2 linked regions of the Arabidopsis thaliana genome follow. The protein of the gene in region 1 interacts with the protein of each later gene in a biochemical or structural test. Each region holds a gene or a part of one and is shown in the gene's direction. Other genes may lie near its edges.

Region 1 (5,446 bases):
CTTTTTTATTTGTGTTGATGCGTTATATCTCCACTATCATCATTGTTCACAAATTTTTTTTGAACTATACTCAATTTACAATTATATTGTACAGATTCAAATCAGCATTTCTTTAGAAACTTGAAACATAGGATTTACTATTCGAACTTTATTTAAATATGAGCGGGATAGACCAAATTCAAATAGATAATTATCGTGTAAATTCATTTGTACGTAGGAGCTCTACATAACAAAAAAATTGACATATTTTTGTTTTTGGATACACTCATATGAACGCATCTCTTTATACTTTACAGTAACAAAAAAAAATCCCAGTTTCCCATTTGTGTAAATGCCCATCTGTATATAAATCTTGATTATATAAAGGGAACAATAATATACTATAACAACGTCTCGAAAAATAAGGGAATATTCTTGTGCCGCCAAAGTTCAAGAAGAAAAATCCAAAACTAAAACACTAAACTAATGTTATTATTTTATAGGAATCTTAAAACATGATTACATTATGATTAAAGTGTAAATTACCTAAAGAATTGGTAATTAAGTCAGCCCACAAGCTGACGACTTCTCTTCCTTCCAAAAATTCACCTGCATTTTGTCAGTTCTCTGTCTCTTCGTACTTTCGATTAATTAACTAACCATAATTATCTTACTTTCAGCTAGGGGTAAATAAAAAAGCACATTTAGTTTACTTTTCTTTGAAAATCGATATGATCGAGATTTTGATATGGTCGAATTGTTTACCGTTTTTTTTCATCTACAATATTATTTTATATATAGGATTTTATCCAAATTATAACACGATAATAATAATAGACTAGTTTATACAACTCCGATACATATGCTCAGTCTTAGGATAATAAACTACAAAATAAATTTTCAATTAAAATTTTGGTATGAGTTTATAATAGTTATGATCTCCGAGAGAAAATTTACTAGCTTGCACATATATAGTAGGTTAGAATTACTTTTTTGGTTCAATCTTTTTTTTTTTAATGGGATTTCGAGTTCTGATCTTTTTTAAAAATAAGTTAAGATTCTATTTTTTTTTAAAAAAATACGTTAGAAAATACTTTCATTTGTAGGGCGAGAAAAAGTTTGCTAAAGAAAAAGACGAATAGGGAGCATTGCAAAAAGATCTTTGTAAGAAAAAGCATGAACAAGATACTCGTACGTATCTACTAACTTCTCTTATACTCAATTCCACAAACATGAATTTTTTCACAATTATTAATATCGAAATTAGCAATTTTTTTGTTTTTGTCAAAGGAAAATTAACAATTTTTTGAAGGAAAATCGAATATCAAAACGAAAATTTGAAGTGGGGTACTTGACGGGAAGAGTTCGCATGGTTTTCGTTTTCACTGTCGACCGGACGATTATTCTCTTTTGCATATTTAGGTTTTTAATTTCGTTGTCGTATGTTGTTGGATTTTACCTCACGAGCACGTGCATGGGTACACGTGCATTGCAGGCTTTGTTCTCAACAATAAACGAGAGATGTGACCTGCGCCGTTGGATCTGTTTACTTCTTTGACCGCCTCAATTTACGGTCAAATTAAAATCTCAAATTATATACACCATGACTGTGCTTTATATACGACTTTCTACTAAAAATAACATTAAGAGAAACTATAAGGAGAAGAACAATTAAAGAAGTTAATTTTACCTGAGGATGATGAAAAAAAGAACGGAGAAAAGAAATAATGAGATCATCATTCCAAATAGAAAAAGGCAGACATAGAAACTTTTGTGTGTGTCATGACGCACTGCCACTGAAAAACCAAATAATCAAATATTTCCAGATAAATATAGTTAATTTCCACCGCCATTAACTTTTAACTGCGAAATATAAATAAAATGGGAAAAATATATGAAAGTTTAATAATTTATGACAATAGCTGCGACAGTTCTTACAGATCAAGGTGCTTATATTTTTTTGTTTGAAAGAAAGAGGAATATTATTTTTTAGTACACATATGGGGCTTAAGTGTGTAGGGTGTATATATAAAGTGATCACCCAATATAACTTATCTTTTGTGTTTGCCTCTCATTCATAACTACATCAGATTCTAAGTATTTCTATTTATTTTCTCTTCATTACCTTTGCTCATCCTCCATCTCTTATTTAAAACTTAATTAATTACCTTTTCAATCTCTTCCAACAAAACTTTTGTCCAAGAAGAAGACATGACAACTGAAGATCAGACAATTTCAAGTAGTGGAGGATATGTCCAAAGCTCATCAACAACTGATCATGTTGATCATCATCATCATGATCAACATGAATCCCTCAATCCTCCTCTTGTCAAGAAGAAGAGAAACCTCCCTGGAAATCCTGGTAACAATTAATTAAGTTTAATAGAGATCACAAAATAATTCAACCCTAATCAACATTTTTTTTTCTGTTTGCTGAAAAGTCATGTTCTTTTTTTTTTCGATCTTGATCTACAAACATGCATGCTTTCTACTGTTTAGATCTTTCACATGATCAAATATGTATCCAGAATTTGATTGTTATATTTCGTTCTCTATAGATCCAGAAGCTGAGGTCATAGCTCTATCTCCAAAGACACTTATGGCCACAAATCGTTTCCTCTGCGAGATATGTGGAAAAGGGTTTCAAAGAGACCAGAATCTACAGCTTCACCGTCGAGGACACAACCTCCCATGGAAGCTAAAGCAGAGGACGAGCAAAGAAGTAAGGAAACGAGTGTATGTATGTCCAGAAAAGAGTTGCGTCCACCACCATCCGACGAGGGCACTTGGTGATCTTACCGGCATTAAGAAACATTTTTGTCGGAAACATGGCGAGAAAAAGTGGAAGTGTGAGAAATGCGCCAAGAGATATGCAGTCCAATCTGACTGGAAGGCTCATTCCAAGACTTGTGGGACTAGAGAATATAGATGCGACTGTGGTACAATTTTCTCCAGGTACTTAGTGTATATCTACACACGTACGTACTAATAGATGATCTTTACATTTCCTCATCACGGTATCATATATTTTTAGTGGCGTAACAAATATTTTGATCACCTAGCTGTAAGCGCATATCATGTTTAATTGCATTATATATAGATTCAAATATGATTTTAACTTCTTAACCAGTAAAGTTAATCATGTTTGAATATATTAGAATATAGGAAGAATATATATATACTTATATACATATCTTAAAACTCATACTAAACCTAGCTAGAGCTTATATTTTACCGGGTGAATACTATGATGAAAAACAAAAAAAAAACGAATCTGTTACCTCAACTAACACTACTGTACCACTGGACCACACAAACAAATTTCGTTTTACCACGTTGTTTGTAAGTAAATAAGATTTTTTTTTTTTTTTTTGTGAAACAATTTGTAAGTAAATAAGATACATGTTTTTTGTTGGAAGTAGTAGCTCATGTAGGGTCTAAAACAAAATAATTTGGAGTTACTTTTGTATAGATATTGCCATATTGGTCATTCTCTGAGCATACGTGCTGCTTGATTTCTTGAATAAGACAGTTTCTTGGATTGACATATTTTGGTTAAAGTAAGATATACAACTTTATTTATCTTTTTTTCCTTAATTGCTATCTATATTACTATATACATACATATTAAACACAAGCATAAATTAGCGAGTGTGTATAGACGATATTGATCTTATTGGTGTGTATAATTTGGTCAACAGGAGAGACAGCTTCATTACACATAGAGCGTTCTGTGACGCTTTAGCAGAAGAAACCGCTAGGCTAAACGCAGCCTCGCATCTCAAAAGCTTTGCCGCAACCGCTGGTAGTAATCTAAACTATCATTATCTCATGGGGACACTTATCCCATCACCATCACTACCACAACCACCGTCGTTTCCGTTCGGACCACCGCAACCGCAACATCATCACCACCACCAATTCCCAATCACAACCAACAACTTCGATCATCAAGACGTCATGAAACCAGCGTCTACGCTCTCTTTATGGTCGGGAGGAAATATTAATCATCATCAGCAAGTGACCATCGAGGACCGTATGGCGCCGCAGCCGCATTCACCGCAAGAGGATTACAATTGGGTTTTCGGAAACGCGAATAATCACGGCGAGTTAATAACGACGAGCGATTCACTCATTACTCATGACAATAATATTAATATCGTCCAGAGTAAGGAAAACGCTAACGGGGCAACTTCTCTTTCCGTGCCTTCTCTTTTTAGCAGCGTTGACCAAATTACCCAAGACGCAAACGCTGCTTCTGTGGCTGTTGCAAATATGTCGGCGACTGCGTTACTCCAAAAAGCTGCTCAGATGGGAGCGACTTCTTCTACGTCACCAACGACGACGATTACTACCGACCAATCAGCGTATCTTCAGAGTTTTGCATCGAAGAGTAATCAGATTGTAGAAGATGGTGGCAGCGACAGGTTCTTTGCTTCGTTTGGATCGAACAGTGTCGAGTTAATGAGTAATAATAATAACGGTCTTCACGAGATCGGGAACCCTAGAAACGGCGTTACGGTCGTTTCGGGGATGGGTGAATTACAGAATTACCCTTGGAAGCGTAGAAGAGTTGATATTGGGAATGCGGGAGGAGGAGGGCAAACTCGGGATTTTCTTGGGGTTGGTGTACAAACAATATGCCATTCTTCCTCTATCAATGGATGGATTTGAAACACTCTTTAATGGATTTTTCTACCTTATTTATGAGTGAACTTAATTATCAAAGCTGATTTCTTTAATTAATTTTAAAAATGATTTATTTCACCAGACCAAAATCATAAATTAATTTTACGATCGATTGTGGTTATTAGATTTATCGTATCTTCTCAAATTCAAAATGATCACCTACGTCTCAAAATTTACTCTTCCATCAGATTTTTGCTAAATTTAGGTCAACTAGTCTATACTTGTAGTACTCTTCTTATTTTATTTTTTCAATTTATAGACTACACTAGACACAAGTATAATGTAGTGTGATTCACATATTGGTATTATTATATGAGCATTTTCGTTGAAGAATTTTTTTTTTTTTTTCGTTGAAGAAAAGTTAAGATTCATTCATATTCACTATGTGTAGAAAGGTGTTTGATATGCTTTTTTAAAAATAAATAAGTACTTAATCAATTGTATGTATTTTGTATATATGCCATAGAAAAAGTGTGGATCGAGAAGTGGTGGGCACACAAGAAAAACATGAAGGCTTTTGAGCTCAATAATTCTAAACTTAACTTGCAGGGCAATTCATAGTGGAGGAAAACATTAAGAAATGAAAAATGAAGAGAGATAGAAAAATAAAAGAGAAAAGATTTTCTTTAAAGAATAGCTAATAATAATTCTCACCAAAATAAAATAAAATTAGGTAATAATATTGCTAGTGGTTCTGGAAAATCTTAATGGGCTTAAACTTATGGGCCTTTGATTAGTACGGACCAAATCTTCAGTCGGTCTTTGGGAGATCTTTCTC
Region 2 (5,114 bases), about 18 Mb from region 1:
TGGAATCATCAAAAGACCGTGCCAAAACAAAAATGCAAATTGATGCGATAGACATTCTTTTGCTGATTTGTATGCTATAGGTTTTCAAATCTCTAGCTACACTTATGTATTTCCCTAGATTATCAAAGTTAGCCTGCCGTTTTCTAATTTTATTATTTGATATTTTGATTATACTGCTTCTTAATGCATCAAATAAGTTGATTCATCCATCTAATATTTTAACTACATCAAATGAAGTCTTTTATAAGTACAGGCACTAATTGAACTTGAACCCTATAAAATACATGAATAATCACAAAGAATTGATAGTGTTCTTTCAGTTTTTCAATCACAAAGAACTCACCGACATTATCAAGTTGACTTCACTTTTAGACTTAATTGGTGTTCTGGAGGATCCACAAAACTACTATTACACAGTTTTCACAAAATTGTGATTCTTTATTTTTTATTTTCTTTGGTCAAACTAACATTTCATTCAACTTTAAACGAGAGTTGCCTCCACGTGGAGAGTATACACAAAAAGCTACGAGGACAAATGCTCAAACAAAAAGACATAAGAAGGGGAGCTCAGAAGCTCAACCCGAGTAGCAGCATCCAAAGTTGCTAAAACAGAACCATCATTTACTTCTGAGGCGGTCTTCGTACCAAGCTCCTTCAGCAAAATTGTGATTCTATGTTTGGATATCATGAGATCTAACTACAAAGTTTTTAATAACAAAAACTTACCATTCTCTAATTTGTAGTCAAAGCTAAACAAATTTCATACTAAAACAATTTTACTGTGTTGTTATGGATGCATATTTTTCTCACTTTATAGTACTATTTTACTATTGATAAGATGAAAAAAAAGTTGAGGTACAATAGTAGTAAAATAGCATCATTCTTTTTCTGTAGAATCTCTCTGGTCAATGGTCTTTTTAGTTTAAAAACTGAATAATGTTCTCTCTCACACAGTAAAAAACAAAGAGAGAGAGAAAGAAGAGAAGAAGACAAAAATGTAGGCATTAAAAAGAAGAAAAAGACAAAGAGAAAAGTAATGAAAAGACAATGAACATTTAAAGAAGACAGACAAATCCCACACCCAAGCCTCAGCCTCATCTCTTTTATTGTTATTTGTTTTTCTAACAAAACAACAAAAACAAAAGAGATGGTTTTTGGGTTTTGTTTTGTCTTTGTTAGGGCGTGTTTGGACGTTTCCTTCTTCTCAGAATCAATATTTTACCAAAACAGCTTTCTTTTTTTCTCTTTAACAATTTTTTTGATGTAGAAATATATAGTCATGATTCCAAATCCACCTCATGCCATGACAAAAACCCATAAAAGTGGAGGTTCCAATCTCGAATACAGACATATATGTTGTATTCGTGTATGTATCTATTATAAGATAATTCCAATTTGTATAATGCCAAATGGGTTCATTGAACTTCTTCTTCCTTCATAATTAAGTGTTGCTTTTTCTTCTTAGTTCCTCTAAATCAAGAAAATTCTAGGTGAAACTTCTCTTATCTTGACTTTATATAAAATAATAACTATAAAAATAATCAATAAGACTAATTCCTACAAGTCTTACAAATTTAAAAGAAAATGAAAATGCAACATTAGCTAATACACATAATAGTATAAGATTGATGGATGTATTCTTATTCAGTTTTATTTATAAATGCAACATAAGCTAATACACTCTCATTCAGTTTTATTTATTAATGTTACACCACTTTAAGAGCACTCAAAATCAAAATACGTATTCTTATATGATATTCATTCATGTAGTACTAGTACACATAATAGTATAAGATAGATGGATGGGATTGGAAAATTTGACAACCTTTTGTTTAATAATTCCTTAAAACCAAGGAAAGAAGAAAGAGGAAACGAAAAAAACAAAAAGGAAGAAGACAAAACCGACTATCACGCATTGTCTGGTACGTAGAGCCAAAAGGAACAATGCCTCTGTTTTAGTGTTTTCTTTCTTAAAGTTTTTTCCCAAAACACAAACAACATTTCACACACACGCTATTACTCACAAGATAACCACCAGAGACGTGGATAGAGAGATAAAGATTGAGAGAACCCTCTCACTCCCAAAAAAAAAGCTTTAGACATTTTCTCTAAATCCATGTAAGTTTTTTTCTTTGGTTATTGTTGTTTGTTATCTTCTTTGATCATTTGCTATTATTTTGTTTTGTTTCTTTCTTAGTTTATCAAATTAGGAAAGTTTTAATTCAGCTCTCTGTTTGTGTTTCTTCGTCTATATCTATTTCAAATAGTTTAACTAGATTCAAAGGTTTTTAAAATTCAGTACTTTCTCTGCAAACCCTAGTTCCTCTGTTCTTTAACCCCCTTTTTTGTTAAACTGCAGATTCTCTGCATCTTTCAAGAAATTCCGAATCGTGGGTTTGGTTCTTCTCGTTACGAGTCTCTCAAAGTTTAAATCTTTCTTTACAAAAAAGGTTACTTTTGGTTCTGAGTAAATCAAAATCAAGCTTTTGGCCTTCAATGGTGGCTATGTTTCAAGAAGATAATGGAACATCTTCTGTAGCTTCATCACCACTTCAAGTCTTCTCAACTATGTCACTCAACAGACCGACTCTCCTCGCTTCTTCATCTCCGTTTCATTGTCTCAAAGATCTCAAACCAGAGGAGCGTGGTCTCTACTTAATCCACCTCTTGCTAACTTGTGCCAACCACGTGGCTTCAGGTAGCCTCCAAAACGCTAACGCAGCGCTCGAGCAGCTCTCTCACCTCGCTTCTCCTGACGGCGACACGATGCAGCGAATCGCTGCTTACTTCACCGAAGCGCTTGCTAACAGAATCCTTAAGTCCTGGCCTGGTCTTTACAAGGCTCTTAACGCAACTCAGACAAGAACTAACAATGTCTCTGAGGAGATTCATGTTAGAAGACTCTTCTTTGAGATGTTCCCGATACTCAAAGTCTCTTACTTGCTCACTAATCGAGCTATACTCGAGGCTATGGAAGGAGAGAAGATGGTTCATGTGATTGATCTCGATGCTTCTGAGCCAGCTCAATGGCTTGCTTTGCTTCAAGCTTTTAACTCTAGGCCTGAAGGTCCACCTCATTTGAGAATCACTGGTGTTCATCACCAGAAGGAAGTGCTTGAACAAATGGCTCATAGACTCATTGAGGAAGCAGAGAAACTCGATATCCCGTTTCAGTTTAATCCCGTTGTGAGTAGGTTAGACTGTTTAAATGTAGAACAGTTGCGGGTTAAAACAGGAGAGGCCTTAGCCGTTAGCTCGGTTCTTCAATTGCATACCTTCTTGGCCTCTGATGATGATCTCATGAGAAAGAACTGCGCTTTACGGTTTCAGAACAACCCTAGTGGAGTTGACTTGCAGAGAGTTCTAATGATGAGCCATGGCTCTGCAGCTGAGGCACGTGAGAATGATATGAGTAACAACAATGGGTATAGCCCTAGCGGTGACTCGGCCTCATCTTTGCCTTTACCAAGTTCAGGAAGGACTGATAGCTTCCTCAATGCTATTTGGGGTTTGTCTCCAAAGGTCATGGTGGTCACTGAGCAAGACTCAGACCACAACGGCTCCACACTAATGGAGAGGCTATTAGAATCACTTTACACCTACGCAGCATTGTTTGATTGCTTGGAAACAAAAGTTCCAAGAACGTCTCAAGATAGGATCAAAGTGGAGAAGATGCTCTTCGGGGAGGAGATCAAGAACATCATATCCTGCGAGGGATTTGAGAGAAGAGAAAGACACGAGAAGCTTGAGAAATGGAGCCAGAGGATCGATTTGGCTGGTTTTGGGAATGTTCCTCTTAGCTATTATGCGATGTTGCAGGCTAGGAGATTGCTTCAAGGGTGCGGTTTTGATGGGTATAGAATCAAGGAAGAGAGCGGGTGCGCAGTAATTTGCTGGCAAGATCGACCTCTATACTCGGTATCAGCTTGGAGATGCAGGAAGTGAATGATATATTACAGTTTGTCTTCTATTTTGGTTATGAGCAGAGTCCCTTTCTTTTTTGTATACATGGGGACACAATCTTAGTTGTTTTGTGATGGTGACTTTCTGTCTCTTTATGCTATTTTGGCTTAAATGCTTCTACTGCCTCTGCATGTAAAGCCTTTGTGTGTTGGTTCAATTTGGTCTGGTGTGGGTGTAATACCAAACCAAATCCAATTTGAGCTGAAGATAACTAATTTGATGATCGGTTCAAGTTCAGAACTCCAAATTCTTTCAGAGACCAGCCAAACTTTGCCTATCTTTAAGCAGGTGATCTTGTCATTTGTGTATTGTAAATAACTTAAACTCGGTATATATATTTAGGTTACTAAAGGACATGTTCACTATCCAAAGAGTATACGACTTATCTGCTGTCCAAATACTTTGTAACCTAAAGTTCACGTGCTTCATTTACATTGAATCTAGTTTAACCTAATCTTCTTGCTTCATTTATATTTGAATTTTGTTTAAGCAATCTAGTCTTTATCTTGTCTTAGCAAATTCACAGAGTGTTTCTCATGCAAAAGTGTTGCATGATCAAAACACCTTGATAATAAGATTGAAAGAGTAATGTGATCCCAAAAGGAAAGAAGATCTCGGATGAACTGATTCAGAAAAAGTATATACTCTGATGTTATATATACTATGAGACAACAGCTAAGTTATTTACATATTTCCTCATTTCAAATCTGTGAACCTGAAGAACACAAGAATGCAGCTCATGATCAAAATTCTGAAAGAAGCGAAACTTCGCCAACCCAAGATTTAAGAACAGCTACACCATGAATAGATATTTGAGATCATCAACTGTTAATCGAGTTGCAGAGCTTCCACCATGATCTTCACCAAAGGCAGACGCAACCATTTTTCTTTTCTCTTCCTATAATAATAACCAAAAATCACACAACCACAAATGAGAGAAACTGAGGGGGGAAACAAGTATCAGCTATAAGGGATCTTTACCTGGAGAGCCAAAATTCTATCCTCCACAGTATTTTTTATCGTAATACGAGTTACAGTAACAGGTCGAGTTTGTCCAATACGATGTGCTCGATCAATAGCCTGATCTTCAGTAGTTGGATTCCACCATAGATCAAGAAGAATGACATGACATGCAGCAATCATATTCAGCC

What was found.
Region 2: the proteins of MGP (region 1) and SCL3 form a complex in vitro, tested with the Arabidopsis thaliana proteins (one study listed by BioGRID).

Annotation. Positions count from the first base shown.
Region 1 is NC_003070.9:966,803-972,248, reverse strand, and holds MGP (C2H2 and C2HC zinc fingers superfamily protein), read left to right. Parts: upstream 1-1,914; 5' UTR 1,915-2,190; coding exon 2,191-2,341; intron 2,342-2,537; coding exon 2,538-2,934; intron 2,935-3,680; coding exon 3,681-4,653; 3' UTR 4,654-4,779; downstream 4,780-5,446. UniProt on the Arabidopsis thaliana protein: Transcription factor that regulates tissue boundaries and asymmetric cell division. Contributes to the sequestration of 'SHORT-ROOT' to the nucleus. Interacts with the SCR and MGP promoters.
Region 2 is NC_003070.9:18,677,008-18,682,121, reverse strand, and holds SCL3 (scarecrow-like 3), read left to right. Parts: upstream 1-1,821; 5' UTR 1,822-2,118; intron 2,119-2,359; 5' UTR 2,360-2,496; coding exon 2,497-3,945; 3' UTR 3,946-4,428; downstream 4,429-5,114. Other genes in the region: AT1G50410 (SNF2 domain-containing protein / helicase domain-containing protein / zinc finger protein-like protein), read right to left, coding at 4,757-4,861, 4,945-5,114. UniProt on the Arabidopsis thaliana protein: Probable transcription factor involved in plant development.